Diceros bicornis minor: one gene and its partners. The protein of the gene in region 3 binds, or shares a complex with, the protein of the main gene of each other region. Links are inferred from orthologs where the notes say so. Each region holds a gene or a part of one and is shown on either strand. Other genes may lie near its edges.

Region 1 (10,083 bases), on a different chromosome or scaffold from region 3:
GTGATTTCACCCCACATCTCCCCCAAGCATCTGAAAGCAGCACGTCCTGGAAGGTGGTGTGGGTGCCGCTGGAAGAAGGCAATGTGATTTTAGGCAGTTCTGTACATGGGCACATATTTTAAGTTTTAATAGTTACGTATTGTATTTTAAAGTGTTTTGGAAAGAATCGAAAACATCAAATCATTTCACAGATATTACTTTAAAGTGGAGGCTTAACAATCCTGGGGAAGAGGATGAGTTTATCTCTTAATTTACTTAAAGAATAGTTCCAGGGGTACGTGGAACTTGTAGGGGTGGTAAAAGAAAGCCCAGGGTGTGGGAAACACAGCCCTAAAATATAGAAGGTAAAGAGGACCACCAGCAGAAGCCTGGACCCAAGGCAGGCTCCATCTCTTGTTAAAAGTGTCCACTTAGCCTCCAAGAATTAAGAAAGATCAACTTCAGAACTGAAGAAATGTGTTGTATACAAACTAGGGGAGGTCTGCCTTCTGTAGCAGCATCTGAGTGATCATTACCCCAGATGGGACAGAGCCATACCCTAGGAAAGTCATATTTCTAACTAGTGGCCTGGCAGGACTCCTGGAAGGCCTAACCAGAATGAGGCTATGACTGGGAAAGATCTAGACCAGCCCTATCTAACAGAACTTTCTGCAATGATGGGAATGTTCTCTATTTATGTTGTCCAATATGGCAGCCACTAGCAATACATGGCTATGAAGCACTTGAAATATGACTAGTGTGAGTGAAGAACTGCGTTATTTTATTTTAATTAATTTAAATTTAAATAGCCACATGTGCTATATCAGTTAACACAGACAGTCGTAGTGCCCCATGTTAAGGATGGCTGCGCTAACAGAAGGTGGCTGGTCAGAAGGGCAGAACAACCAAGGGAAGAGATGAGAATGAGACCAGGAGCCCAGCGGGGGAATAATGTCCCGACCAGAGGGCCTGAGGTCAAGCTGGCTGATCTACCCAACCAGAGGGCCTGAGGTCAAGCTGGCTGATCTATCCGGCAGGTCTATCACTTTAGTGGCAGATGACTGAGATTAGAATCAAAACTTGAAAAATCATCCATTAAAACCAGCCCCCTTGCTCTAATTCTCTGCTCCCTATTCAAGCTTCTGATTAAAATTTAGTTTCCAGATAAATTTGCCTACAGAAAGAAAAATGCCCGGTCCTATACATGGCACGTAAGGTCTTGCCCAGTGATACTTATCCTTATAAATTAGTGGACAGTCTGCTCATTAGTGGATAGTGCAGCCTCTGTTAAGGCCTGGTCAGTATGAACAAGACTCCACGAGGGGCCAGCCCGGTGGCGCAAGTGGTTAAGTGTGTGCGCTCCGCTGCGGCGGCCCGGGGTTCACCGGTTCGGATCCCGGGCGCGCACTGACGCACCGCTTGGCAACCCATCCCCAGGGTGGTGGGATTCCTCAGGAGGAATGTCAGGAGCCAGGGGTCTCTTACCTTTGCCACAGGCAGCTTTCAAAAAGAACTCACAGACAGCAGCCCCCGACTCTGGAGAAAGGAGAGAAAAGGAGAGGCATCAAACAAAGCAAGCTGCGACTGCTACTGGTGATGTCTCCAGACAGGGAGGGAAGCCTTCTGGCCCTTAACTCACGAAGGGTTCAGGATATAGGAAACAGACAAGCAAAATAATGCCATGTCCCACCAAGCAAGGAAAAAGCTTATTTCAGCCATTCCCTGCAAAATGAGACATATACATTGAGACCAGTCATTACTCCATGCTTTCTGAAAGCCTTCTATAAGCAAGACGCTTTCAGGGAGTTACAAGTGGGTGGGAGAGGGAAGGATGGAGCACAAGATCACAGAAATTAATTACCCCTAGCTCGGACCTTCCAGAGGGCTAATTCACCGGCACTTTAACGTGAGGCAGGAAGCACAAAAAAGCAAATGGGGACTCTGAGGAGGGACAGGCTGCAGAGAAGAGGCGAGTGCCTCGGAGACGCTATTCTGAAAGGAAAAGCATAATTTAAGACACAGAAGGGGCCGGCCGGGTGGCGTAGCGGTTAAGTGCGCGCGCTCCGCTGCTGGCGGCCCAGGTTCGGATCCCGGGCGCGTACCGACGCACCGATTGGCAAGTCATGCTGTGGCGGCATCCCATATAAAGTGGAGGAAGATGGGCACGGATGTTAGCCCAGGGCCAGTCTTCCTCAGCAAAAAGAGGAGGACTGGCAGATGTTAGCTCAGGGCTGATCTTCCTCACCAAAAAAAAAAAAAAAAAAAAAAAAGACACAGAAGCAGGACTGCTCTTAATATGCAACATCAACACACAATTATTAAAGGAGCACAGTCTCTTGCTTACACAGATGCAGCCGGTTCAGGAGAGGGGTACAGGAGAATAAAAGCTGAACATGGTAGAAGTCAGTGGGCTCCAGGAGTAAGCTGTTCTAACGACACCAGAAATTCACCTGCCATGGCTACCAGAATAAACTGTCGTGGCTTCAAAAACAGTTTTCTCTATCAGCAGGCATTTTAGAATGGCTGAAAACCCACTGACAGCATCTCTGAAGGCCATTTACGTGCCTCTCCTTGCTAACTTGCACGAGATTCCTTGGCTTCTTAGAAGCAGGCAGATTTTGCTAGGACAGACTTAAGGTTGTAGAACTGGGAGTCATAACACTGTCATTCATTTGCATTTCAAAAAGTCTAAAAAGTCTTACACTAAAAAATGTATCACTTAAGAGTATTTCTGGGCCTTCGTTCTTTTCAGAGATTAAGGTTGCTTCATTACTTAAAGCCAGAAGTCTAGTGGTTTCAGGCGGACAGGATAAAAGAGCATGCCTTGAGGGCAGAACTGACAGCTCTTCCCAAAACTAAGACAGGAATGAAGTGCAGGGACAAGGGAGGAAGGGCTGTGGCCGCCCTGGGCTTTAACACAATGAACTCAATCTGAGGGCAGGCAGTGAGTGCTGAGGGCACCTACCAAGTCTGAGGTGGGAGGCTAGGGCCATGAGGCGGGAGGCTAGGGCCACACGCATGGCTAGGCTGTCCTTGACCCTCCCTAAGAATAGGTGTGTGGGCCCCTCGCCACTGTGCCTGCCCTCACAGACTCAAGTATCTGTGGTCCCAGGCTGAAAAAAGGTGGGAGGGAAAGAGCTGCCCTGCATGGACCTTCCATGGTCTCAAGCTAGTGCCACCAACACAGGAAAAGGCCACGTGTGCCCAAGTGGATGTACGTGTACAAGCATGAGGTGATCACATGCATCGAAGGGTAGATAAATAAGTGTGTATTTGAATTTGAGCAGTTCCTTATAAGACATGCACAGTGGAGATGGTGCTTGTGCACATATAAAATAAGGTTGTTTGAGGTATGTCTCTTGGGTATAAGCAACATCTCACACAGAAGTGTCAGCATGAGGGGGACACCTGAGGCCATGTGTGCAGAAGTGCACTTGAGGGGAATAAGGCTGCAGGGAGTCTCTACCAGACCAGGGACCGGTGGTTGAACACGGGCCAAAGTCCACTGGCAGCTATGTGAGACAGCACAGGGAACTGCAAACAGAACCAGTCAAGAACTCTGGAGAGCTTACCCAGCTCCCCAGGCACTGAGTGGTTTTCAGCCAGTCCCTTCCCCCACCCAGGCCTCAGTTGCCCCACCTGTGGATTGAACTCAGCGACTTCTAAGAGCCCTCTGAGCTTTAATGTTATAGCGTCAGACATCAACTGTATCCGCAAAGGTGAGAAGACAGGAAAACTGCTGGTTTCTTTTAAAGTCCTAGACATCCCACCTAAGTGAGGGCGTGGGGGAAGCAGGAGCCACCATGTGAAGGAGAATGGAGGGAGCCCAGGCAACTGCCCAGGTGTCATGAATGACCCAGAGTTGGGGTCCAGAGAAAAAGTGGGGATAGGCTCCCAGAAGTGCGAGTCCTAGGAGAGGAATGGAGCTTGAGAGTCTAACTGTGGGTCTCCGACAGAGAGGGAGAGGTGGTCCTTCCCTCAGCATGAGTCATCCAATATCCCAATTGGGATGAAAACAAGAGGAGGGCGCTCAAAGCTGGGGGGGGCTGGAGGTGGGAAAGGGGGCTATCTTAGTACTTTCCTGTAGTTAGGGGGAGGAGGGAGTAACTGCCAATCCGAGATAGCCGCCTTCATTCAAGAATTCTTTGAACAAGAGGACATGGTCCTGCTCTCCTTAAGATTGCCTTTTAAGAGCCCAGAGGATCGACGATCCGAGGAAACGGCTCTGGAGTCCGAGTGCAGGAAGAAGGGGATCCCAGGACCGGGGGGAAAGGACCCCCGGGACCGAAGGGGAAGAGCTCCCGAACCCGGGGGGAAGGCGTCCCGGAACCCAGAGAAGGGGATGCTGGGACCAAGAAGAAGGTCCCGAACCGAGGGGGAGGACATCCCGGAGCCCAGAGGACGGGCTCCTAGGACTGAGAGGGTCCCGGGACCGAGTCGGTCGCGCCCCTCGCCCGCCGGCCCCGGCCCCGGCCCCGGCCCCGCGCTCACTGTCCATGCCGGGAAAGGGCAGCGGCTGCGCCCCGAGCTGCTGCTCCACCGCGATCTCCAAGTCGAACTTGATGTGGTCCACGCTGGCGATGATTTCCTGCATGGCGGCGGCGGCGGCCCCACCGGCCCGGCTCCCCTTCAGGTCCCTCGCCGCGCTCACACCTCTGCCTTCCGCCGGCCCGGCCGCACACGCTCCGCCACCGCCTCCCCTCGCCTCGCCTCGCCGCCGCCGCCGCCGCCGCCGCCACCGCTGCCCGAGGGATGCCGGGAGCGCCTGGAGCCCGCGCCTGCCCGTCGCCCGTCCAGACCGGGCCAATCGAGCGCGGAGTACGGGCCGCTCCGCTAGGCCCGGCTAGCCGCCAGCCGAACGCCCGCCTGTCCTCTGGGCCGCGGGTAACCTGAAACCACGTGCACGGGGAGTTCGTGACGCGGGCTGCGCTTGCGCGAAGTCGCCTGGGGCGCGCACCAGAGGTGGCGGGGAAGGAGAGTAGGCTCTGCGGCGCGGCGAGGCTGGGACGCCACTGGGGGTGACGCGAGGCCGGGCGGGGAGCGAGGCGGTGCCGGGCGGGCGTGGGGCCGCGTTCACTGGGCCGGACTCTTCGAGCGAGTTGCTATTTGATCCGGAGCCCGGGACCTGGGCGGGGACAGGCCAGAGAGGTAGCGAGTTTCGCAGCCGGGGTCGGAGCCGGGGGCGCCCGGTGAGGAAACCAAGGCTCTGAAGGCCAGTGTGGACAGGGGTCCCGGTGGCCTGAGGGTCCGGGGAGCGTCGGCGGGCAGCGGGTACCCAGAGGAAGGACAGCGGCAGCGTGCCTCTAATTCAGGGGTTATTAGTCTGGGCAGGTTAATGAACTTGGGTAGGAAGAAAATGACACCTTTATTTTCTCTGTGTGAAATGGAGCATTGCTTTCCGTGACTGACGGACGAGTAGCGTTAGCTGTGCCCGAAATTAAGTCGTGATTTCAAGTGGGGACGAGTGCAAATGATAGTTGGAGACAGAGTATCTGCAGCCACTGCAAGCTGTCATTTACACTCAGCACTGCTTTGACATGATGGGGTCTTGTTATTTAATGCCTTGAAAAAGAAGCACGGGGCCCGCCCCCGTGGCTTAGCGGTTAAGTGGGTGCGCTCTGCTGCTGGCGGCCCGGGTTCGGACCTCGGGCTCGCATCGCCGCACCGCTTCTCCGGCCATGCTGAGGCGGTGTCCCACATACAGCAACTAGAAGGATGTGCAACTATGACGTACAACTATCTACTGGGGCTTTGGGGGAAAAATAAATAAATAAATAAGAAAAAGAAGCATGTATACTAGTATGCTATAAGTTTGTCTTTAAAACATTTTGATACTTATTTCAACATCATATTTGAATGAGGCACAGGGAGATCAAGTAATGGGCCCAGTCACAGCTCTGGCCAGGACTCAAACTCAGATCTGGCTTCAGTGACAGATGTCGTAGATCATGGCTTGAGAATAGTTTCTGTCCGTGGACTGCTTACTGTGCCAGCAGTGTACTGCACTGTGTATATCTGAGACCTCGTTCAGTCATTGCTACAGTGCTGTGTGGGCAACGTTGTAGTTAACCCCAGTTTACAGGCAAGGAGGCTGAGGCCAGAGCAGTGAGTGCCCAGGGACTCATGGATGGTTGTTTGGCAGAGCTGCAGTCTGAACCTAGGCTTTCTAATCTCGGTCTGGGCTTGTCACCACTTCTCTGTCTTCTTTCTGCTTTTTGTGACTGCGATCCTGAGTTGACTTCATTATTTTTTCTGACCTTTGTCAGGCCCTGGAGGGGAAAGCCAGAGATGGACCTCGTGAAACTTGCCCAGCTCTTCTCCCGCCCCCACCCCGTGGGACTGTCTCTCCTGCAACACCTTGACCCTCTCAGAGCCAGGTGGGCAGGAGGCAGGAAGAGGCCTGCATGGCTGAGGGCCGTGGGGCTGACTCGGCCAGCGCCAGCAGCCTTCAGCAGCTCCCTCTCTCAGCTGCCCGTGGGCCAGGGGAGCCAGAAGAACACGGGCAGCCTCAGCTCTGACCCCAGCCAGCCCAGCCCCACAGCCACCCAGGAGGAAGACGGGGAGGAAAGCTTTGGGACCCTCTCCGACAAATACTCCTCCCGGAGAATGTTCCGCAAATCGACGGCCCAGTTGTATAACCTGCGGCTCAGGGAACAGAGTGTTGAAGAAGACGAGGCAAGGGAGCTGGAGCCAAAATCATGGCGGGGCCGAAGAAACACCCCTTACTGGTACTTCTTTCAGTGCAAACACCTGATCAAGGAAGGGAAGGTGAGGGAACCTGTGGATTCTGCTGCTCCTGGCTCCTACTTGCCCATGGCTCGGTATTCTGTGAGGGGCCCTGCCTTCCCGATCTCTGAATGTTGGGGTGCTCAGGGCTCTTCTCTCCTCTGTCTTCACTCACCCCAGGTACTGCGCCGGGTGACCCGCCAGCCTCCTGGCTTTCAGTGCCAGCCTCCTCACTGCAGTTCTGGTATTTGTATCTCCAGCCTGGCCTTCCCGTGGACTCCTGATCTGTGTATCCAGCTACCTCCTCGCCATCTCTCTTACACCCACCTACATCCACCGAGATTGTTTTTCCCAACCTTGTTTTCCCTATACTTTCTTCATCTCACTGAATAGCAATCCCACTGTTGCATCTGCCCAGGCCAAATACCTTCAGGTCACCCCTACTCTTCTCTTTCTCTCACTGGCTCTAGCTTCAAAATGTCACCAGTCCTAACGCTTCTCATGACCCTACCCCAGAACACCCAGGCATAGCCTTCTCCTCGCCCTCCTCAGCTGTTACAACGCATGGCACTGGGCTCCCCGAGGCTCTCTCCTCCTCTTGCCCCGCCGTCAGCTGGCAGCACGGAGTCATCCTGTTAAAGCAGAAAGCAGATAATGTTACTCTTCTCTCCAGAACTCCCAGTGTATTCAGTGACATCGATGATGTTCACTTTCTTAGATATTGATAATGACATTCCGTTTCTATTTAAAAATCTCTTGGAGGTATGTGTTGAAGATTTTATGAATGAAATGATAGAATGTCTGGAATTTGCCTTAAAAAATACAGTTTGGGGGAGAGTGCAGGGTATAAATGAAACAAGATTGGCCAAACTTTATCATTGTACACTCTTCTTCACCATCTTATACTCTTCTTTCTACTTTTGTGTATGTTTAAAATTTTCCATAATGAAAAGTTGAGAAGTAAACAAAGAGAAGCCAAAGTCCTCACAATGGCTTATGAAGGCTGCAGGATCTGCCCTCCACACCCCTTATCTCTCTGCTCTCATCCCCTCTGCCTCACTTACTCTGCTGCAGCCACCTCAGCCTCCTCTCTGCTCCTCCAACTCCTAGGCACACTTCTGCCTCAGGGCCTTTGCACTGGCTGTTCCCTCAGATAGCCATATGGCTCCTTCCCTGGCCTCCTTCAGATCTTTGCTCATCTGTCAACTTCTGGGTGAGGCCCTGCTTGGCTGTCGTATCTAAAACTGAATCTCCCACACCCTTCTTCTGACACTTTTTGCTTTATTTTTTACATAGCACCTATCACCATTTGACATAGTATATATTTTTCTTAGTTATCTCATTTGGCGTCTGTCTTTCCACGCTAGAAGATGTACTCTATGAGGGAGCTCCCTCTTGCTCACTGCTGTATCCCCAGCATATAGACCTTGTCTGGTACCTAATAGGACTCAGTGATTACTGGTTGAATGAATGGATGAAATAAGATAATTAAGTGGTAAAGGAGTGAACTGAGGCTTTAAAGGGGATGGTGTAGGAGTAGGGATGGGGCAAAGACTACTGTGGGCCAAAGGGGTTTGCAATTGGAGGAAGCTAGTGACACAGGGCTGCCATCCTGTGCCATCTCAGGAGACTGTCGCTGTGATCGTGTCACAGCCCCCTGTGATCGTGCAGCACAGTGGCTCTGAGCATCCCTACTAAATGACTGGAACCCAGACTCCCATCAGTTCAGAGCCAGGGGGCTGGCACTGCAGGTGGGGTCACCGAGGAAGCAAGGGCAGGCAGATCCTGGGAGTCACAGAATTAACATTTTCTGAGGAGTTACTAAGTGCCAGGCCCTGGCTCCACTCGAGAGCCACAGAGATGCAAAGACATGGCCCCTGCTCTCAAGGAGTTCACTGTCCTGCTAGAGGGAAGGCAGCCGTGGCAGTAGGGCCGAGAGCTCCTCTAGGTGGTGGGTGTCCAGTGGGCTTTTCTTCCTGGCCACCACGAAGCTCCCTTGCTGCAGAGCACAGGGTGTTTGGCTCCTGGGTAGGCCTGGTCTTGGCCCCAGGGGAGGGTACCTCAGCCTCAGTCTCCCTCTCTTGGCTGAGGTTCTCTGAGGCCACCCTGAGCCCCCTCTTATGTTCCCCCCGCACAGCTGGCTGAGGCCCTGGACCTGTTTGAGAGGCAGATGCTGAAGGAAGAGCGACTCCAGCCCCTTGAGTGCAACTACACAGTGCTGATCGGGGGCTGCGGGCGGGCCGGCTACCTGAAGAAGGCCTTCAAGCTCTACAATGACGTGAGTGTGGGGCGCAGGGGCGAGGCTCCAAAGAGCATGGGCTTTGGCACAAAAAAGAGCTGGGTGCAGATCCTGAAGTGTCACCTGCTAGTGCATTACCCTGGGCAGGCGATTTAACCTCTCCGGCCTCAGTTTCATCATCTGTGAAACGTCGCTGATCGTGGGTAATTACACGAGATGATGTGGCAAGTCCTCCAGCACCTGCGTGGCCCCACCCGTCCCCGTCCCTTTCCATGCTGCCCCAGTTTGTTCATGTCCCTTTCTCTCACCCCCATCCTCGCCCTGTTCGTTTTCAGATGAGGAAACTGAGGCCTGGAGAGATGAAGGCCATGTCCAAGGTTACCCCTCTCCAGAGTGCTGGAGCTGGGATTCGAGCCCCAAACGGCCTGACTCTTAAGAGCAGGGCTCTTTATACTCTTCCGTCGCCTGCGCCCGGTCAGGTGGCCGTTCTCTGGGAAACAGAGAGCGCTTGGCTTTATCAGGGAGCTGCTCAGTCACCTTGATCAGAGCTTGATAAGCACAGTGTCGACCCCGCCCCAGGGTTTGTGACTCAGCAGAGCCAGGGGGCCCCTGAGATGTGCTGCAGTAACACGCTCCTGGCTGCTGCTCGTCCAGGGGCCACTCCCCTACCCGACCCTTGCAACAGCCTTTCAAGGTGACAGTATCATCCCCATTTTTCCAGTGACGAACTAACTTGCCCAGGACCCCTCAGTAAACACTGGAGCTGGGGTTTGATGGCCCTCTCCCACCCTTTCCCAGACCAGATCCACCCCATGGCCCCTTAACAGTCAGGGCGACCTGGTCCGCCAGAGGGTGGGAGCATTGGGAGGACCCTGCTGCAGAGCACCTCAGGCTCGGGATGGGCTGAAAAGCACCTGGGGGAGGATGGTTTCTTGTTTGGTGCATCTGAGGTGCAGGGTCAATTTTCAGAGTCCCTTTGGCTGAGTCAGGTTAATGTCACTCAGCTCTGCCTTAGCACAGACCCCACGTCTCAGGCATGTCGAATGTGGTAACAGAGTCCTCTCTAGCTTCCTCTCAAGGTGGCTGTCACCCGTGCACTCAGCTGATTCCAGAGCCACCTCTAAGTTTCTCCCCATCTC
Region 2 (10,083 bases), on a different chromosome or scaffold from region 3:
AAAGTACAGCAGAATTAAGAACTGTTGCTCTAGTGTCAGTCTTGAAACCTACTAGTCCACCTACATTTTCACAAGTTTATCAAGACGGCCATTAGTCTTTTTCATCAAGGACGCCTGCAAAGATCTTTCTGATTAACCCCCTTCACTGGGGCAGTCTACCCTCTTTAGGGGCTTATATATGGATTCTAGAACATCAAGAGGTCATGAATGCCATATAACCAGGTTTTAATGTTAAATAGACACAGCCACAAAGAAAGCTCTTCCCTAATCAGTTTTCTAAAGGACACTGAAAAGGAATCAATCCCACAGCAGTGTGAGGAACTTTACTCTTTTGAGATAATTTTTCTCCTCTTTTCTCAACCTTGACATAGAACGTATTATAACAGAGGTATGAACGATGATATTTAAAGGGAAAAGCATCAACTTAATTTTATCTTACGTTTCAGTGTTTTGACACTCTGTAAGTCTTAGGAATTTTCTTTAGTACCACTTGGTGGCATAAAGCTCTGCACTGATTTCTCGTAGGGAGGGTATTGCCAGAGCTGGAGAGTACCTTCACGCCTGCGATCTCAATCATGAACATGGCAGCTCCAAGAACATGGCCTGCGTGGTAACACCAAAACTTGATTCCTGCAACTTCCTTAACTTCATGAAAGTTGATGGTTTCAATTTTGTCCATGCTCTCTTCCAGATCTGTCTCAGTATACAGCATGTCGTCCGCTGATATATTACTAAATTTTTAAAGATGCCAACAAAAAGAATTAAGGCGAAGCTTTTCAAAAAGTCTTTGAACTCGAAGAAATTGTCTGTGGATGATATATCCACAAAGTTATTTCTTAAAATTATATTGTATGGATTATGCTATTTAGTATCTCTTGGACATTTTGTGTATTTTTTTACTCTGCAATTATAATAAAACTGTTTAGTGTGCACAACTACAAAGCATGATTTTAAGCAAAGCACACAGTAAATTAAGGCAAAATCCTCTTTAGGAAAGTATTTCTCAACCTTTTTTCCTGCCCTGACACTCCTGAGAGATAAACTCACTCACATACATTGAACCACAGCAGAGATTCTCACACCAGGATGTGAAAAGCTTTCTCTACAAAGTGCAGCATAAGTTTTCTCCTGAAAATTATACTAATGTACCTCCAAAAAAGCAAGAGAGAGTAGTGGTTAAGGATACAGACTCTGGAGCCAGATTGCTTGCATCCAAATTCTAGCTTTGTCTCTTACCATGACCATCATAGACAAATCACCTAACCTCTCTGTGCCTCGGTTTCATCATCTATAAAATGGGATTCATAACAGAACCTACCATCATGAGACTGCTATGAAGATTAAATGAGTTAACATACACTAAGAACTGAGGACTGTGCCTGGCTGTGGTAAGCATTATTTAAGTGTTAACTAGCATAATTACTACTAAGGATAACTCTTGCATTCTTTTGCATTTATATATGAAGAATAACAAAATGCATCTTAGCTACCCTTGGAATATATATATCACACAGTAAATCTTTGAAGGCTAATAGTTTGTGCTGTAGGTATCAAAAAACGCTCCAAACTTTCTGATAAAGGAGAAAATTTTCTTCTTGCAACTGGAAAAAACTTTCCTACGGAACTTTTTCATTTAAGATAGTTAATTTACTTTGATCAAATAACCAAAAATAAGATTTCAGTATATATCTCTGTATAATGTATTTGGTCTTAAATTTTAATAAACTTATGAAATTCTATTTATAGAATACTGTTATCATACATCATAACTCACCTAAATTATAAAGATTTAAAAGGACGTAAAAACTACATAAAGACTTTAAGGCCAAGAAGGTGCTGGGTAGACAATGGGTATTTGATGAGTTGTTACTGAATGACTAAATTAATGACATTCTTGTGAATAAAAAGAAAGTGTCTTATTTCAAAACGCAAAATGGTCCGTATCTTGAACCATATGTATTATGTAGAATCAAATGCATGTAATTTACCTAACTTTGACGTAATCTGAAAGAAGCCATCTATAAATAGCTTTTGTGGCATGAGTCATAAATGTTCTTCCTTTGAAACTTGTCTTCTGCAGAAACCAGGGCAAAGCTCCACAGTGATCCAAATGGAAACTTAAAAATAAACAAAGAGATTCCGTCAATTCTTAAAATAGTATCCATCATATACTATACAACAGGAAAGTTCTATGTAACAAGTGCATACTGATACTTTCAGAACACCAAGTGTAGCTACCTGCAGAGGGAAGGAATAACGCATCCCGTCCTAGTGTAAGAAAAAGATAGTAAAAGCATTTTTTAAACATCAAAATACTCTATCACTGATAACTAGAGATGGAAGAATATACCCAAACCTACTCTCTGCAGCTAGAATTATCACAAGTACTTTAGTGGTATAAAGTTGAAACATGTCACTGTTTTTAAATGAAATTCCTATAGAATGTGACAAGATAGTGACCTCAAGGAGATATTCTGGGAAAGGGCTTTCTTGGTCTCAAGTTTTACAGTGGTCCAAGGCATGTGCTATCTCCTTCTCACTTACTCTGGAGGTAGGAAAGTAAGGTTTTCTTAATAAACTGCTCTAACCTGTGATGACAATATGGAGTGTTGTCTTAGACTTCGATGGCTGCAATATGCTTCCTAGTAGAAAATACTGTTTCCAAACACCAGAATCTTACAATCTGGTAAAGAATGATCCTTATCATTCTTATCATCAGTAAAAGTCCTTGAAAAACAGTGTTGTTAATAAAGGAAAAAACTTACTGACTAATTAGCAAGAGATCAATCTCAGCTGGGTCAATTAAATCGATATAAGGAAGAGCATCCATTCCTTCTAGTCCAGGGTGAATCCCACAGTCCAACTGAAAGAGACAGAAAAACAGAATCACAATCTCCTACACAATTTATTAAAATTCATCCAATAAAGACAATATTTATAACCAATTCATCACATACATAATCAAGATGGACTCTATACTCTAGCATTTGGAATGCAATTATTACTAAATGTGGCAAATATGCCATTAACAATTCTAACTTCCCAAACAAATATAAAAATATAGCTGACATTTAGGGTCACAGGACACAAAATACAAGACATCTTCTTTCCAGCTACTTTTTGCAGTCACTCTAACAATGAATGAACTCTTTTTCAGAAACTTGGATATCAGAAGATGGTGGGCATTTAAAAAGTTTATAGATTTACTACTACCAGATCTGACTATTATGAGGAGACAGTGATTAGAAACAGGAAACTTCCCTGATCAGCGGAATTTAAATATTTTAAGGCATTAGGGAATAAATTCTTAAGAGTCAGTCATTAGTGAGTTACATACTCATTTTTTGGATGTTACTACCAAATTAATATAATAAATAACTAAAAAGACAACTATGTCTGACTTAGGCCTGTTCTTTTAAGATTGAGAGAAATAGAGAGGTGGAACCAAAGGAACATTATGAGCCACTGAAGTGCCTTTCCAATGAGGATCACAGAAACCATCTCTTCTAATCACTCCATCTTTCAGATAAGGAAATGGGCTCACACTGCCTTGCCCAAAGTCAGAGGCCCTAATGCTAACTTAGGTAGCTAAGCTGCCAAACCAGGGCTCTATCATCACATGCTGCACTGGGGTGGCTGGAGCTCTGCATGTTTTGGGGCAGCCAGTTCCTTGAGGCCTTCCACTGCAGGTGGGGCGGTTAGGTTGGCTAGACCCTCCAAGAGTTGAAGAAGCAACAGTTCAGGAGAGAATCTTGGAATATATCTTCTCGGTTTACTTAACGTTTTGTCAAATTACTAAGTAGAAGTGTGCATTAGTTTTTCACATTAACATCACAGACTATGTATACCAACTATGACACTATTCTGGGAGCTAAACAGATAACTACTGTACTAGAAAAAACCTAACACCCAATGCTGACAGAGCCATACTGTTAACCTGACTACAAAATAATAATTACCATTATTTTTCTTCCTTTGAATTCCAGAATAATACATGATCTTCCTACTTCTTGCCCAGCTCCACTGTAAACATTCAAGGGGAGAAACAGAAATGAGTACAAAACAATCAAAATCAAGGCCAATAAATTCAAACTTTTTTACAACTTAAATTATGCCCCATTTGATGACAGCACTTGAGGCCGATGAGAGTTATACAAAAATACAAAGACAGGGAAGAACATGTCAATGTGGGAAAAGATGAAAAGTGATCTTTGGGAGTTCAGGGATTTTTCAGTTGTTAAAACTGAGAGAAGATGGTACAGATCCGAGAAATCTGATGGTTAAATTCAATCTTCTGAATGTTAGGGTTAATTATGCTGTATTCAAAATATAAGTTAGCAGTGATACACGATTATTTAATAATACTTTTAGAATTAGCACTGAAGTATAAACCCATAAGCACTTCAAAATTCTTTCATTTTCTTTAATATCCTAATATGCATTTACCAAATAGCTTAAATTTAAATAGACTTATCTTATTCATACCTGTGAATCTCATTCCCTTTCCTTTCTACTTTCTGTTATTTCGTATATTTGATACCAAGCACTTAAACAATCTTCCTTCCTTCTTAAATTAATATAACAGCCTTAATTTCCAATTATCACAAGACTTTAAGCTAAACCTCACCTGGTTTTCAAATCTCTCACCTCCGTTGATGTCTTTCCCCAACTATTCTAGGTTGAGTCACTCACTCATGCAACATTAAGCAGCTTCTATTTGCCAAGCACTGTATTAAGTGCTGAGCATATGGAAATGCCTAATACTAGGATCCTGGCCTCAAGAAACTCACAGTCTACTAGGAGATAGACATGAAAAGAGATCTACCCTCAAACCGAGGTCCTACCTCTGAAGAAGATGTAAACAAAGAGAATCAAACAGCCATAGTGCTATCACGAATTCCTGGCCTTCCATTTTTTTTTTTTTAATTTTATTTATTTATTTCTTCCTCCCACGCCCCCAAAGCCCCAGTAGATAGTTGTATGTCATAGCTGCACATCCTTCTAGTTGCTGTATGTGGGACGTGGCCTCAGCATGGCCGGAGAAGCAGTGTGTCGGTGCGCGCCCGGGATCTGGACCCGGGCCGCCAGCAGCGGAGCGTGTGCACTTAACCGCTAAGCCACGGGGCCGGCCCATGGCCTTCCATTTTAACTGGCCCTCTATGCACCCTCTGAAGCGTCCCTAGCTCAGTTTTCTTTTATAGTTTCCATAGTAACGATTTCAAGCTTCCTCCCCTTTCCTAAATTTTCCAATCCTCTATCTTCTTCTTCACTTGGGGCATGGACCTTCTCTGCATCAAAAAAATATAGTTCGTTTGTCAACTTCCTCAACTTTACTTACCAACCCACCCACATCTTTTCTCCTTCCATTTCTCCTGTAACAAGAGCACAGACCTCTCTGTCTAAAGCTAATCTTTTCACCATGGTTCTACACTCTATACACTCCCTCCTGAGGAACTGAACACTGCCATATCATCAACATTTCCCTTGCCATCTTCTCTTTACTATCAGAATTTAAACATGCTACAGTCATTCTCATCCCCACATTAAAATCCCTTAATTCTAATCTCCTTTAGTTCCCACTTTATTCCATTTCCCAGTTTGCTTCCTAAAAGAGCTGTGTACACTCTTTGCCTCTATGTCCTCACCTCCACTCACTCAGTTCACTGCAATCTGGCTTTTCCCAAACACTCCTCCGCGCGCCCAGGATCCGAACCTGTGAACCCCGGGCTGCTGAAGTGGGGCGCAAGAACTTAACCGCTACGCCACCAGGCAGGCCCCCAAAGCAGCTCTTTGTTGCTAAGTACAAACAGCCTTTTTCAGTCCCTCTCTTACTTCTTCTCTTGGCCGCCTGTCACCCTCATTCATCATTCCCTCTTTAAGCACTTCTCCATTGGTTTCTCTGACTTCTTGCTCTCATCCTGTCCTGCTGGTCTTCCTCCAGTTTCCTTCACACTCAGCTGTCTCTGCCCACCCTTCAGATGTTGATATTCCAAAGGTTCTCTCCTTGGCCCTCTTCTCAGTCTTCGTGATCTTCATTCTCATGTTTTTGACATGCTGATGATTTCCAAGTCTGTATTTGTAGCCCTCATTGTTCTTCTGAATTCTAGACCTCTAATCTACACCTGGGCTTTAGGTATCTCTCCTGGGATATCTCACAGGCACCTTAACTTCAAATACGCCCAACCAATCCCCTGCACTTGCTCTTCTACCTTCCTGCAATGCTCTGCCCTCAGATACTGACATGATTGGCTCCTTTGTATCATTTGGGTCTCAGTCCAAATGTCACCTTCTCAGAGGCCTTCTCTTGACTACCTCCTCTCATTTGCCCTTCACACCATTCAATCATAACACAACTACATGGAGTTATTGTATCTACCTATTTATGGCTTGTTTTTCACTATTAAAACGAAAGCTCCATAAGAGCAGAGACACTGTCTATTTTGTTCACCCTACTTATAGCTACAGTGCCTGACATGCAGTAAATCTCAAGAAATACTTATTGAATGAGTAAAAAAGTCCAAATTATGAACGTTGGAAACATGCTAAGTGAAAGAAGCCAGTAACAGAAGGTTACATACTGTAACCCATTTATATGAAATGTCCACAACAGGCAGATCTGCAGAGATGGAAAGTAGATTAGTGGTTGCCTAGAGCTAGGGAAGGCGAGGAAGATAGGTGTGACTGCTAATGGGTACCGGGTTTCTTTTCAGAATGATGAAAATGTTCTGGAATTAGACAGTGGTAATGACTGTAAAACTCTGTGTATATATTAAAAACCACTGAATTGTACACTTTAAATGAGTAAGTTGTATGTGACATATCTTAATAAGGCTGTTAAAAACAACAAAACTCCCAAATTTCCTCCAGACTTGCCCCATCTCCTGTACTCCTTAAGGGAATAACATGACCACGTACCAGTTGCCTACCTAGGAATCCGAGTCACCCTAACATTCCTCTCTGCCCTGCCTTCCCTCCCAACTGCCCCTTCCAATGCATCTGATCAGTTACAAAGTTCTAAAGGTTTCACTTCCCTACTCTCTCAAACCTGTTTCTTTCTATTCCACTGTTGCTCATTTCACTCATTCCAAGCTCTCACTGCTTATTATTTCAATTTCATCCTACTGGATTCCCTCCACTTAATCCACCCTTTCATTCATCTGCTGCACTGCTGCTAGGAGTGATCTTTGATCTTCATAAAACATAATTCCCACTATATCCCAACCCTGCTTAAAATCCTTTGTTGGCTCCATACACCTGACGATAAAGGCCTCAAATCCTTAGTACATATAAAAAAAGCCCTTCATAAGATGGACCCTGATAGCCTCTCCACCTCATCTGCTAATCTTTCAGCCACAGCCATGAGGAAACTCGCCACAAACTGTGACCACTCTCATTTTCACACGTGCCACTTCCTCTACTGGAACATCCTTGCCCCCACACTTTACCCGTCCTTAATTCCTTCTCATTCTTTAGGACTCAGCTCACGCATCATATTTTCCAGGACGCATGAGATGGCATTTTCTTCTCCTCATTCTGTTAGAAATCCGTTTTTCACACTCTCACGGCACTCAGTGCAACGTCCATCTATACTCTTATAACAGTTACCATTTACTGAGCACCGACGTGACCTTTACCCCTCACAATAAACGTTGCTATATTATTTTCACGTGAGGAAACAGGTTCAGTGAGGCTGCTGTCCTAGTAAGTGATAGAGCTGGGACTGGACTTCAGCTCTGACTCCAAAGTCATGCTCTCCTACTATTCCAAACTCTCTCCAGTACTTTTCATTTTGCACCGCAATTCCATTCAAAGGGTGAATCCAACTAACTCAGCCTCTGTCCTACTTATATCCCCAGCGCCTAGTGTGGTGCTTGACACTTGCTGGGTGTTTGCTGAACACAGGGAGAGGTGACAGGTGTGAACTAAGCAGTGGGAAACTTGTGTTATGTCCCCAGGAGGTGCTCAATGAGTCCTTATTGAATGAACGTGTAAAGGAGATGCTTCCTACCTTTTGAAAATGCACATTCATGTGGTGCCAACTAATATTTAACAACAAACACGTTTGTGGATTCGAATTGCCCATGGAGAGGCTAAGTTCTCCACATTTATCTCCCTTTCTCAGCAGCATTCCAGATCTGTGAAGTGCTCCCGACAGAAGGCCATCTCCATGGAAAGACCAGCCTTCTTCCAGACAATCCAGGGCTGAGTTTTTGTCCTTACCACCTCTGCTCTTCTCTCCAACCTTCTACCTTCCTTATTCTGCTAGACTCCGAAGTCAGAACATCAAAACTCATAGCAAATCCCTAATTTATTTCCTCTCTCACATCCTGGCAAATGTAAAAAGTCCTGGAGGTAGCAAGCAACAGACTGAGTTCCTCCTCGCACTGCTACAGCCTTATCCAGGTCCTCATCTCGTCCTGCCGTCATCAGCAGCACCGGTTCCCTCAGGGCTGGCCACTCTCTAGGTACAGGCGTCCAGGGCCCCAAAGACCGCCCCCCAACTCCAACATTCTCTCCCCTGAGCTTGAAGAAAAGCAAAATCCCAGTCAACCTAGCACGCCCCTTCCGATCAACAGATCTCCAAACCCCGTCAGCCAGGCTGCGGACCAAGGGCAGGCGGCCGAGGCACGCCGGCGCGGGGGCGACTGAGGAGCCAACCACCGGGTTACTCCTCGCCTCTCGCAGCCCGCGGCTTGCTGCCCTCTCTCACTGGTCCCTTACAGGGGGCGGATCAGCAGCTGGTCACTCTCTTCAGCAGGGATCGCAGACATCTCGGAAGTCTGAAGGAGAGACTAGGCGAGGAACAGGTCGCTGGAGCGTTCCTAAATTGGAAGCACAGCCACCGGGACCCGCAGACAGAACGCCATCCACCAAGAACACAACTTCCGGCACTCCGGCGCCCGCGGCACTAGGCTCCTCCCCTCCACTTCCGGTCGGAGATCCCCGCTCGCGAGGTTCCGCCCCACAGGAGGTCAGAAACCTGGGGCGAGGTCAAGACTGCGCCTGCGTGACGTGCCGGAGGCGGGGCCTGGCGGTAGGGGCCAGGGGGCCCGGAAAAGCTGGCGCTGGACTAAGCACTGGAATGGCTGCTGCGACGGCTGCTGCTGGGGCGGTGGGTGTCTGACCCCGACCGCAGACGACCCCAGGGATGGGCCAGCGGCTGTGAGGTGAGAGCCCTGCCCTCGCTGCGCCCTGGCGGAGCCTGGCCGGGAACGCGGGCCCCGAGGGCGACGCCGGCGGGGAGGCCCGCGGTGGGGCGGATGGGTGGGGCCGCGGGGGCCGCGGTCTCCGCGGGGACCCGCCCTCCTCTGGTCGGGGACCCAGGCCCCGAGGCGGCTTGGGGTGGGCGGCGGGAGCCGAGAGTGGGCCCGGCCTGAGAGAGGAGGCAGTGCCCCGGTGCCGATTCCTGTCTGGGGTGGGACCGCAGCACCTGTGACGACGGATGTCGTGTGCGGAGCGGCCCCGTGGGAAGGGCGACGGGAATGGGGCATCCGCGGGGCTGCTGCCCGTGTCGGGCTCTGCCTTGTGGGGCGGTGAGGAGCGCTCACTTTTTGTGCCGGCTCCTGTTGGTTTTCCCTCCGCGTCCACCCCCATCCCTCACTGCAGAGGGCAGAGGTCATGTCTGTCCTGTTTACTGTCATCCTGCGCAGCAGCACGTGGGAGGCGCTCACAACAGTGAGGAATACGTGGGGAGCAGGGTGGGCTCTGGAAAGAGCTTTGGAGCTAGTCTGTGTAGGTTCCAGACTTGGTCCCACCCATTATTAGCTTGGAGACCTTGGGCGAGTCCCTTAATCTCGTAGCTTTGGCTTCCTTATTGAAAGGGGCTGTAATAGGGTAGCCTTGCCGGTCTGCAGTAGAAGGGTTAGAGGTGCACAGTAGAGCACCTACACTGGGCTGCACATGCAGCTGTTCAGTGCAGGGGAGTTGTTATTTTCGTGTCATCTCCCAAGAAGGTTCTCCAGTTCACTAAGCATGTCCTCTGCCAGACTGTGCCAGGCGTTGGGTACACAGAGATGAATAACCTTGCTGCTGCCTTTGACGAGCTCACAGTTCATAGAGTGAGATAGTCACAAGTAGACAATA
Region 3 (10,083 bases):
ACCCATTTCCATCACTGCTAAGTTTCAAGGTACAAACATGATCTTACACACTCTGGTTTACAAAGAGTCCTTCAGTGGCTCCCCAGTGTGGTTTAATAAAAAGCAGTGGACTTTGGAATCAGACAGACCCACAATTGAATCTACTCCTGTGTGATTCTTGGCAAGTTAATAAACCTTTCCTCACTCATGTATCTCAGTCTATAAAACATAAGTATTAATATATACATAAAAAGGATGCTCGAAGATTTCAAATAATGTGTAAATTACCTAGAATAGAGACCACCAAGTTCCTCAATAAATAAATGTATACCGAATTAATGAACTCATCTTTCAAGGTGAATTTGTTCACCTTTATTTGTTCTATGATAGCAGTGATTACATTGCATTACAATTGTTAGTTTAGAAGTGTTTCTCTCCTATTAGACCACCGGTCCTTAAATAAACAGACTCCCTTGAGAATCTGATAAAAAGCTATGGACTCTTCTTTATCCCCTCAGCCCTCAAAAACAAAAATAAAAACGGCAAATATACACATAGAAATTCACATACTTTTCAGAAATTCACTTTACTTTTCAGGAAGTTTAATGTTAAGAACCCTTGCACTAGAATGCGAGAAACTGAAAAATAGAGATAGTATCTTATGTTTGCAATTCCTAAAAAAGAACTTGACACACAATAGGTGTTCAACATTTATTTGATGGCATGTATGTTGGGATGCCTACTAATATATTTCAAGAAGATATAACATGAACACATCTATTGGGATTTAGGACCTAGAATTGCGTGCTATTAAATAGAAGTTATAAAAATATTCATTGGCAAAGCAGAGCTCCACAGCAACATTTCAGATCTTAGTGACTTAAAATAAATTAGCCTTTCCTGGCTAACCATGCAAGTAGGAGAGGTCACTGCATACCTGATGATCTACCACCATCCGCCCAAGGTCATATCAACAAAGTAAGGTAAAGTGACTGCCCACCTTCCATAACAGGCTATCAGGAGACTCATCCCACCATATCTCCCATCTTTGTTCTCCTCAGTAACGCCAAAAAATCCAAGACTCCTAGGTTTTCCATTATCACTCATGTGTACATCTCCTAGTTGGACCCAATCCCCTACCTCTTCTCCCTCCCAAATCCTTCCAGTATGCCCTCTGCAACTATGATTATACTCACCTGTTAACTTCAACCTCTTTCTGAAGGTTTTCTTCACCTGCTTACCTTCACAGACACCCGGCTTTTCCCAAATGATACTGTTTCCCCTGCAGCCTTCTGAAGGCTTTTTTTCCTCTTGTACTCCCTGTACAGTAGTCCCCCCTCATCCACGGTTTTGCTTTCCGTGGTTTCAGTTACCCGAGGTTAGCCAGTCTGAAGATATTACATGAAGAATTTCAGAAATAAACAACTCATGAGTTTTAAATTGTGCGCCATCTCTGAGTAGCGTGATAAAATCTCATGCTGCCCCACACTGGCCCACCAGGGACGTGAATCATCCCTTTGTCCAGCATATCCACACTGTATGTGTGTATACGCTACCCGCCCATTAGTTACTTAGTAGCCAATTCAGTTATCAGAATGACTGTTGGAGTATCACAGTGCTTGTGTTCAAGTAACCCTCATTTTACTTAACAACGGCCACAAAGCGCAAGGGTACTGATGCTGCCAATTCGGATATGCCAAAGAGAAGCCATAAAGTGCTTCCTTTAAGTGAAAATGTGCAAGTTCTCGACTTAATAAGGAAAGAAAAAAATCATATGCTGAGGTTGCCAAGATCTACAGTAAGAAGGAATCTTCTGTGAAAATGTGAAGGAAAAAAATTTGTCCTAGTTTTTCTGCTGCACCTCAAATATGTATGTATAGGAAAAAACATAGTATATATAAAGTTTGGTACTATCTGCGGTTTCAGGCATCCACTGGGGGTCTTGGAACGTATCCCCCTGGATAAGGGGGGACTACTGCACCGCAAAAGCAGGAGGTATGTGTTCCTTGCTCCTCACTGCAGCTTCCAAACCATGTCTTCTCCTTCCCCCTTCAAATACTCCAGTCCCATCACAGCTCACGCTACCCAGCTAGTTCACTATGAGCCTTCTCCACTTCCTCATCATCGCTGGTATGCAGTAATCTGACCTGTCATTGAGGACTTGAGTTCCTGACTCAGCCTTTTTTTTTCAGGAGCTTCAATACTGACTTCTTAGTCCCCTGACTTTCTCAACTCCAACAATCTTCACTTCACTTCAGCCACCCACAATCACGTTTACACCCTAGACCTTATCACTACCAATAAGCCATGCCACTTTCAAAATTTCACGTTCAAGCACCTCACCCTCTCACTACCACCTTACTTACTCTAGCATTCCCACTGCAAAAATCCTTTGGCCTCACTGGTATCTCTAACCCACTGACCACTTTTTCACTATCCATGACCCCCTCCTGTCTCCATTCTTGTCTTGCCATCAATCCACGATCCCTCAGGATTATTTTGCAAACACTCTCAAGTACCTTGATGCCCTAGCCCTTCTCTGTACTAGCGTGGCAAAACCCCAACCCTAACTGACTCCAGTCCTTCACTTTGTCTTTTCCAGCAGCTGAACGCTGCCAAAGGAAAAAACCCAATCACACAACTGTGCTGTTTGCTCTTTAAATTCATGACCAAAGATCTCAAACAGGCACTAAGCGCTACCTATGAATCTGATTTTTCTTAGTAGGTTGACTTTCCATCTCTGAGACTGTTATTTCACATCTCTTCTCTGCTCAAGCATCATGTACCACCCCCTCCACCTTACTCAAAGCTGGTAATCTCACTTCATTCTTCAATTAGAAAATAAAAGTAATCAGACAGTCACTTCTCATCTTCCAATACCATATCTACTAACCTATTTGCGTGTACACTGCTGTGTCTCCTATTATATGGAATAAAGAGCCCTGCTCTGGTCCAAGGCCAGTGTCCTATGTGTGCTCTGGATCCCATTCTCATTTACCTTCTCAAGGACTGAACTTCCTCAGTCATTCCTTCTTTCCCCTGCATCATCTATGTATCATCGATGCACCATTCCTATTAGCATACAAAGATACTCTAGAATTTCCCAACTTAAAATAACCCTCTCTTAATCCTACAATCCCTCCAACCACTTCCTCATTTCTGCTCCCCTTTCACAGCAACATTTCTCAGAATATTTGCCCACAAACATGTCTCCACTTTCTTTCCTCCCATTCACACCACCAAATCTGGCATCTTTCCCCACGATATCCTAGAAGTGCTTTCACCAAGGTCACTGACAAACCTCTATACAACTTAGGCCAATGGACATTTCTCTGGCCTCAACTCTCTGGAAATCACAGCAGCATTCAGTCAAATGAACTGCTCCATCCTCCTTGAAACGCCCTCCTTTCTCTGCTTTTGTGTCAACCCTCTCTTGGCTTTCCTTCTACCTAACTGGCCACTCCTCAATCTCCTTTGTTAATTCCTCTTTCGCTCTTCAGCCTCTAAATGTGGCCATGGTTTTCAGCAGGACTTCTTTTCTTCTCTTTCTAGGTAATCTCACCCAGTTCCATAGCTTTAAATATCATCTGATCTCTGATGGCATCGTCCTTGATTCCTTCCTTTGCTTCCCACATCCAATCCATCAGTAAGTACTGCATTTTTTGCCTCCATTTTATTTCTCAAATTTCCTTCTATCTCCACTGTCACCAAGACCTCTAACTAGTTTGTCTATTTTCCCTGCCTCAAACTTAATTCTCTCAGACACAGTTTTCTGACCACCCTAACGTCCTTCCCCACCTCAGTTACAGCCTATGACATCATTCTAACGCCCTCAAAATACTTCCTGCTTTCTATTCTGGCAACGTCTGTGTTTACTCTCCTTGTCCGTCCTCTTCTCTCTTCCTAACCCCTACACTAGAATATGGACTCCATGAAAGTACAGACCTTGTCTATTTGGATCAGTTATATTCCAGTGCCTCCATAGTGCCTGACACAGAGTGGCGGTCAACAAATGCCTCTTGAATAAATGCATGAAGCATGACTAGTATTACCTGAGCTTAGTGCCCTCACCACACTATTAACAGTTACCTATTTGCATGCATTTCCCCTTGCTTGGGAGAGCTCTCTGAGTGCAGGACTAGGCTTGATCTATTTTTGTATCCTTACTATATTAGCACGTCTTACACATAGTGGTTGGTCAATAAATTGTTGTTGAAACAAACAAGTTCAAATTAAAAATATACTGACTTAACATGTTCCTATTTGTCAGGTATGAGAAGTACAAAGATACTAATTCTCTATTTGATGAAAAATGTTTATAAATATAATTTTGGAAAGGACCTAAGAAATTCTCACTGCCAGAAAGCTTCCTGTACCACAATTATATTCATGGCCTAAGAGAAACTCTTTTTCTACTGAAATCTACCTTAACTCTCACTGTCTTTATTTAGATTACGAAGTGAAAATAAAAAGTATCTTGCAGATAGAACTGAATGAGTTCATGTTAAATTTTTTTGCAGACAGACCCAGATTTCAACAGATGAAAATATATTTTTATTACAATTTCTCATAATATAATAAAACTATATCTTTATTAGATATTCATTACTTACTGATATCTCAGTCGTATATCGGATGAAACACCATGAATTCAAAGGAAGAGTTCTTTATAAATCTAAAAAGTGAAGAAACAAGGGTCTCATGAACATGGTATAACAATTTACTTCTGTTATTAATTATGGTGTTTAACTTCTATGTCTTGTTCTAAGATGAACACTGTGAGCAGCAACAAGTAGTATAATATATGGTCCTTTTTTAAAAAAGAAACCATAATTTTAGGAAGTTTAAGCTTACATAAAACAAGAATAAAATAATAAAAGATAATAACAAAAGACAAAAATAAATAATAATGAACCAAATTAGTTATTATCAGAGGCTGCAATATGCAGTTTAGGAAATAAGATTTTAAAAATTGACATTAGTTTATGTTACAGGGAATCATAAAGAGGTGGGATCTTAAAATATTTGTTAAGGGTTGGTAGGACCTGGGTACAAAGAGACAAAGAGAAAAGGTACTCAAAACAGGGGAATAACACGATCAAAGGCACAAAACAAAAATTTACAGAATACTAGTGAAAAAACTAGCCTGGCACATTTTCATATAAGCAAAAAATGAAAGAAAAGGCCTAATGCATAGAAAAGGGCCTGATAATAAAAGGCCTTGGTAACTTTGGATCTAGCTCTACAGGCAACAGAGAAACATTTTAAGATCCATTATCAAGTAAGAAGATGACATGATACAGGCAATTCTGTATTTTAAGAAAATTAATTGATGTGTATGACTGATGAGATAAGAAGATACAGAAACCAGGGAGATAAAAGGGGAGAGTATTTAGCAGACCACTTCCTCCTTTCAATTTTGCTGGTTTTATTTTGAAACTAAATTTCTTTAGCCTCAAATGTACTTTATAATTCTATGACATGAATTCATTAGTCGTTATCTAGGTAACCAAGGTCTGAAACTCTACATGTTTGATTCCTTCTTTTACTTCTTGAACAGTGTATTACCTACTGCTGAGCATTTTTCCCTCAGAATGCCCGGCACACGTATCATTCCCTGTCCATTCCTACTGCCAGTTCCTTAATGCAGGGCCTCATTACCTTACATTTGGGTTCTCTGTTTGCCTCCAGCCTTTCCTCCCTTCATCTTAACCTAAATATTTCTGCTAGACTAATCTTCAGAAGCACCCCTGCACATATTATCCCTTGCCCAGAAATCTCTGAAAGGCTTCTTACTGCTTGAAAAAACTAAAAACAAAAACCTGAATGCCTTAACTGGCATTGAAGGGAGCAGCAAGGCCCAGCTCAAATTCCACCTCCTTCCTAATTCCTCTATCATTAGTCTAGGCTACAGCAGCTCTGTCCAACAAAAACATGATGCAAGCCACAAATGTAATTTAAAATATTTTCACAGCCACAGTGAAAAGTTTTAAAAGTGAAATTAATTTTAATATATTTTATTTAACTCAATATACCCAAAATATAGTCATTTCAACATGTAATCATTATTAAAAAATAATTGACATATTTTATCTTCTTTTTTCATACTAAGTCTTCAAAATCCACTGCGTATTTTATATTTACAGCACATCTCAATTTGATCTAACCACAATTTCAAGTGCTCAACTGCTACATGTAGCTTGTGGCTACTGTAATAGCACTGGTCTAGACTCTTAAAATCGATGCTTTGGACCGTAGAACATTATCCTCTGCCACTCCTAAAGTGCAGGTTGGCACCACTCTATATTTGTTGGCACCACTCTATATTTATGTACATGTCGTTGGCTTGATTTTAATGGAATCACCAACCATTTAGTCTCCAGACTAAAAACTCTGGAGTCACCCTCTTACCACCAAATTGGCTGCCCCCAGTTGAACTCTATTTGACATTTCAGACATGTCTCTCTGACATCCTTTACTATCCTACCTCAGTTGAGGCACTCATTGCCTTACCTGAATGATTGCCATTTCCTCTCATCTAGTTTTCCTGTTCCAAGTTGACCCTCCACACAGCTGTCAGAGACCATCCTAAAATATACTCATGCCCCTACCTTGTGCAAAGTATTCACTGGCTTCCTGCTAACTAATGAATTAAATCTGAACTTCTTAGTTGGAAATCAATGTCCTTCACAAGTTGATCTCAACTTTCCTCTTGCTTCACCAACCACCCCTGCACTGCATGCTCAAGCACATATATTTTCCCTCTCCCTAAGTACACCAAACTTCTCAAGTCCCTGCATCCCTGTACTGCATCCAGGAATGACCTTCTCCTGAGCCTAGTAAATTCCTTTAGACCCTTCATGACCCACCTCAAATATTTACTCCTTTACAAAGCTTTTTTGGTGTCCTCAGGCCGTTATTTATGTTTACCTAGCACAAAGTAGGCACAAACAATATTTGTTGAATGTATTGCCAAAGAGTAAAAGTGATCATCTTTGGGCAATACCAAGCATAGTGCTCAAAGCAACATAAATGTGTACTGAAAGATGGAATGAACCCTAACCATACACATTCCTTCACGGCAGTGATTCCGAGCATTACTACTTCATCTCAAAGATCTATCGCAGTTACTTGCTCTCTCAATAATGACCTTGCTTGTTGACGCCAACTAAGAGGAACTATACAAAATCCAAGGGAAGAACGAAGGAATCTGGGTTGGCTCTCGAGCTCACTAAGCGCGAAAAGTTTCTCCCTGGTCAGTTCGGGGAGGGCAGCAGTTTCCTAAAAGGTTCAAAGGGATTGTAAAATTTAAAAGCGGGGGGGGGGGGGACAATTGATAACTCAGATTCCCCTGGGCACAGGGGGCCAGACTTGCCGGGTTATGGCTAGTCTGACTGCTGTTTGCTGAAGAGCGTGCACAATGCAGTGATGGTGGAAGTGATGGAGAGAGGGAACTGGAGGGCCGAGACGGTTTTAATAAAGCACAGCGACATCTAAAAGGTCTTCGGAGTCGATTAACTAAAAAGGACGCCCACTTTGCGCCCACCGCTGGGTAGCCTCGTGATCTCTCAACCCGAGAGACAGGAAGACCCCGAGCGAGAAGGCTGAGAACACGGTAACGACGAGCCAAAGGAGCAAAGCTGGCGTCGGATTAACTCCTCCTGCGCCGAGACTGAAAGGGCGAAGGGAAACAGCAGCAAGGAAGGAAGGAGAGCCTGGGAGTGAGCCGTACGGTCTGCTCCAAAAGCCCGAGAGCTTCAGACCCCTGGAGAAGCCACTTCTCTTTCCCTCGCTGGGCACTTCTGCCAGGAACGACCAGGACAGTCGCAACCGAAACCCCGGGAGCACGTCCCCAGAGGAGACCCGGTCGGAGTTGGAGCCAGGCTCTCCCGGAGGGCCGAAGACGCCCCCTCCCCCATCCAAAGGCGCACTTTCTTCCGCCCCCACTTGCCTCGTCAGTCCTCCCCCAACGCCGTCCACTGCCCTGCCCAACCCCTAGTCGAATTCAGGTTCAAGAGTGAGAAAAGCTGACGTTCGCTCAGCACCATCCGTGAAGATCCGCCAACAGAGGCCCCTCAATGGCGGCCGCCATTTTGAAACTGGAGGCGCACGGCTGAGGCGGGGAAGACCCAGGGTGATACCATCTTCGAGGGGGGTGGGGCCAAAGCTATAGGAAGGAGGTGGCGCTTACACCAACCAGTCTCGTTCTCTGGGACTGAAATTTTATCTTTAAGTAATTTATGATGTGTAAAAGCTAAAATAATTTGAGAAATATCAAACATGAAAAGGAAGAAGAGGGATGATTTCCCGTGCCGCCCCTCTCTTCGAGCGGGCGCGGCGAATGGTAGGTCCCGAGGCCGCAGCTTCCGCCGGCGCCGGTGGCTGGGTCGCCACTACCCTAGGTCGTGGGGTCGTTGCTGGCACCGAGGCCGCAGGTGGGTCTGGGGTCGCAGGTTGTGCAGACGGGGAGGGTGCGTCTCCAGGAAAGACCTCTGTGTGTGTATGGGAGGGGGTCCGGGCCTCGCCAGGGCCGGAGCGGCCCAGGGCTTCCTGAGGCTTCCAGCGGAGGAGACGGGGAAAGGGAAGAAAAATAGGGGTTTCTTTACGGTGGGCGGCTGGACTTTCGTTTCCGCCTGGCTGCTTTTGGAAAGAGTACTCTGAGGATGTCATAACCGGAAAACTTCTTTAGCGATCACCTGGTGACCGCCCCTTGGGCGGACCGGAGAGGAAACCGGACGGGCTCCCGCTCCTAGGCTGAAGCAGGGAAAGGGCTGCCTCTCCGCGAGCATCTCTGCTTCTTCCAAGTTGCAGCACTCTGTCTTCCTCGTTACTCAGACATGGAAGCTAACCTCGCTCTCCTCTAAATCTCAAACCCTCTTGAGCCGACCACTCCACAAAATATGCACTTTTTAAGAACGTAATTAAAAGAAAAAAGTAATATTAATTTGTAAAGTGTGTATGTCGTTAAGAAAGAATTCCAGACCTCAAGCAATTCAGTTTCTTCATACATCCAGCACTGTTCTTTAATAGGTTAAATCGACACTTTTTGATCAATACATATAAAGTGCTGTAGGGACCAGATGCAGAGTAGAATTTATTTTTTTAATGTCTAATCATCTATATTTTTCCAACATGCATTAAGAGGGCCTTACAAAAATACACACCAGATACAGTTTTCTTTTTAGAAGTGGGAAAAAAATGAGTTGAAGAAAAAGTAATGTTAGGAAAAATAAGATAAAGCCAAGAGTGAGGTTAATATAAATGTTTACCTCTATACTTGCTGAGACAGTCAAGCACAAATAAAGAGCTTGGCCCAAGGAGCCAGACTGCCCAAGTATTAATCCCAGAGCTGCCACTTACTGCAACTGTGACCTAAAGCAAGTTGATTGGCCCTGGATTTCTTCATCTGAAAAAAATATGCCTACTGCATTGAGGACGTTGTATTAGTTAATACATGTATAGTAATGTGAGGATTACATGAGTTTGGTGATTATGAAAAGCAGTAGGAACCATGCCTGACAGAGAGTGCTCTAAGAGTCAGCTCTTTCTAGAGGTAGGGGAAAAAATTTGGATCATTTTGGTATCAAAGGATACATGATCAGTTATGTTATTCCTTGAGTCTAGAAGATAACAACCAGTTAGTTGTTTTTTTTTTCCCCCTGGGATACCATGGCTACTCCCAGTTCTGAAGTAAAAGCAAAATTTTTCTTGAGAGTCTTCCTAAAGGGAAGACACTAATAATATGTACAGTGCCCTCACGGGCACCCATGTGGCTATCACTCTTCATCCAAACTTGTCTTGTAGGAGCCTGTCCCAGGTCCTCGCTGTCCTTTGCCCATCATTTAAAACTCCCGTATAGTCTTGGGCCCTCGACCAAGAACCTGAGGGCCTGTCTATGCTCCCCCTCTTATCCATTCTCCAGAGATTGATTCTAGCTCAGTTCTTTTGTCCATAAATCTTTTTCCTCCGTGGTCATCCACTTGCAGTGAAATACACTGGACAAATTATGTTCAGTGCCACTGCTCCCAAAGCCCATCAAATAGTAAATTGTACAGTTGTACTATGAAATGTCTCTGGGGCTAAGGTTAGTCATTTACCTCTTAG

The links.
Region 1: CPSF2 (region 3) and CPSF4 share a complex: the UniProt entries of both Homo sapiens proteins name them as parts of the cleavage and polyadenylation specificity factor (CPSF) complex. The link is inferred for Diceros bicornis minor from reciprocal best matches to the Homo sapiens genes CPSF2 and CPSF4.
Region 2: CPSF2 (region 3) and CPSF3 share a complex: the UniProt entries of both Homo sapiens proteins name them as parts of the cleavage and polyadenylation specificity factor (CPSF) complex. The link is inferred for Diceros bicornis minor from reciprocal best matches to the Homo sapiens genes CPSF2 and CPSF3.

The regions. Positions count from the first base shown.
Region 1 is NC_080765.1:7,258,405-7,268,487, forward strand, and holds the start of CPSF4 (cleavage and polyadenylation specificity factor subunit 4), read right to left. Parts: upstream 4,690-10,083; 5' UTR 4,574-4,689; coding exon 4,471-4,573; intron 1,516-4,470; coding exon 1,465-1,515; intron 1-1,464. Other genes in the region: PTCD1 (pentatricopeptide repeat-containing protein 1, mitochondrial), read left to right, coding at 6,103-6,747, 8,843-8,983. UniProt on the Homo sapiens protein: Component of the cleavage and polyadenylation specificity factor (CPSF) complex that play a key role in pre-mRNA 3'-end formation, recognizing the AAUAAA signal sequence and interacting with poly(A) polymerase and other factors to bring about cleavage and poly(A) addition.
Region 2 is NC_080751.1:70,605,985-70,616,067, forward strand, and holds the start of CPSF3 (cleavage and polyadenylation specificity factor subunit 3), read right to left. Parts: upstream 6,520-10,083; 5' UTR 6,043-6,519; coding exon 5,972-6,042; intron 4,024-5,971; coding exon 3,960-4,023; intron 2,864-3,959; coding exon 2,766-2,863; intron 2,118-2,765; coding exon 1,989-2,117; intron 732-1,988; coding exon 554-731; intron 1-553. UniProt on the Homo sapiens protein: Component of the cleavage and polyadenylation specificity factor (CPSF) complex that plays a key role in pre-mRNA 3'-end formation, recognizing the AAUAAA signal sequence and interacting with poly(A) polymerase and other factors to bring about cleavage and poly(A) addition.
Region 3 is NC_080763.1:37,944,918-37,955,000, reverse strand, and holds the start of CPSF2 (cleavage and polyadenylation specificity factor subunit 2), read right to left. Parts: upstream 4,657-10,083; 5' UTR 4,593-4,656; intron 1-4,592. UniProt on the Homo sapiens protein: Component of the cleavage and polyadenylation specificity factor (CPSF) complex that play a key role in pre-mRNA 3'-end formation, recognizing the AAUAAA signal sequence and interacting with poly(A) polymerase and other factors to bring about cleavage and poly(A) addition.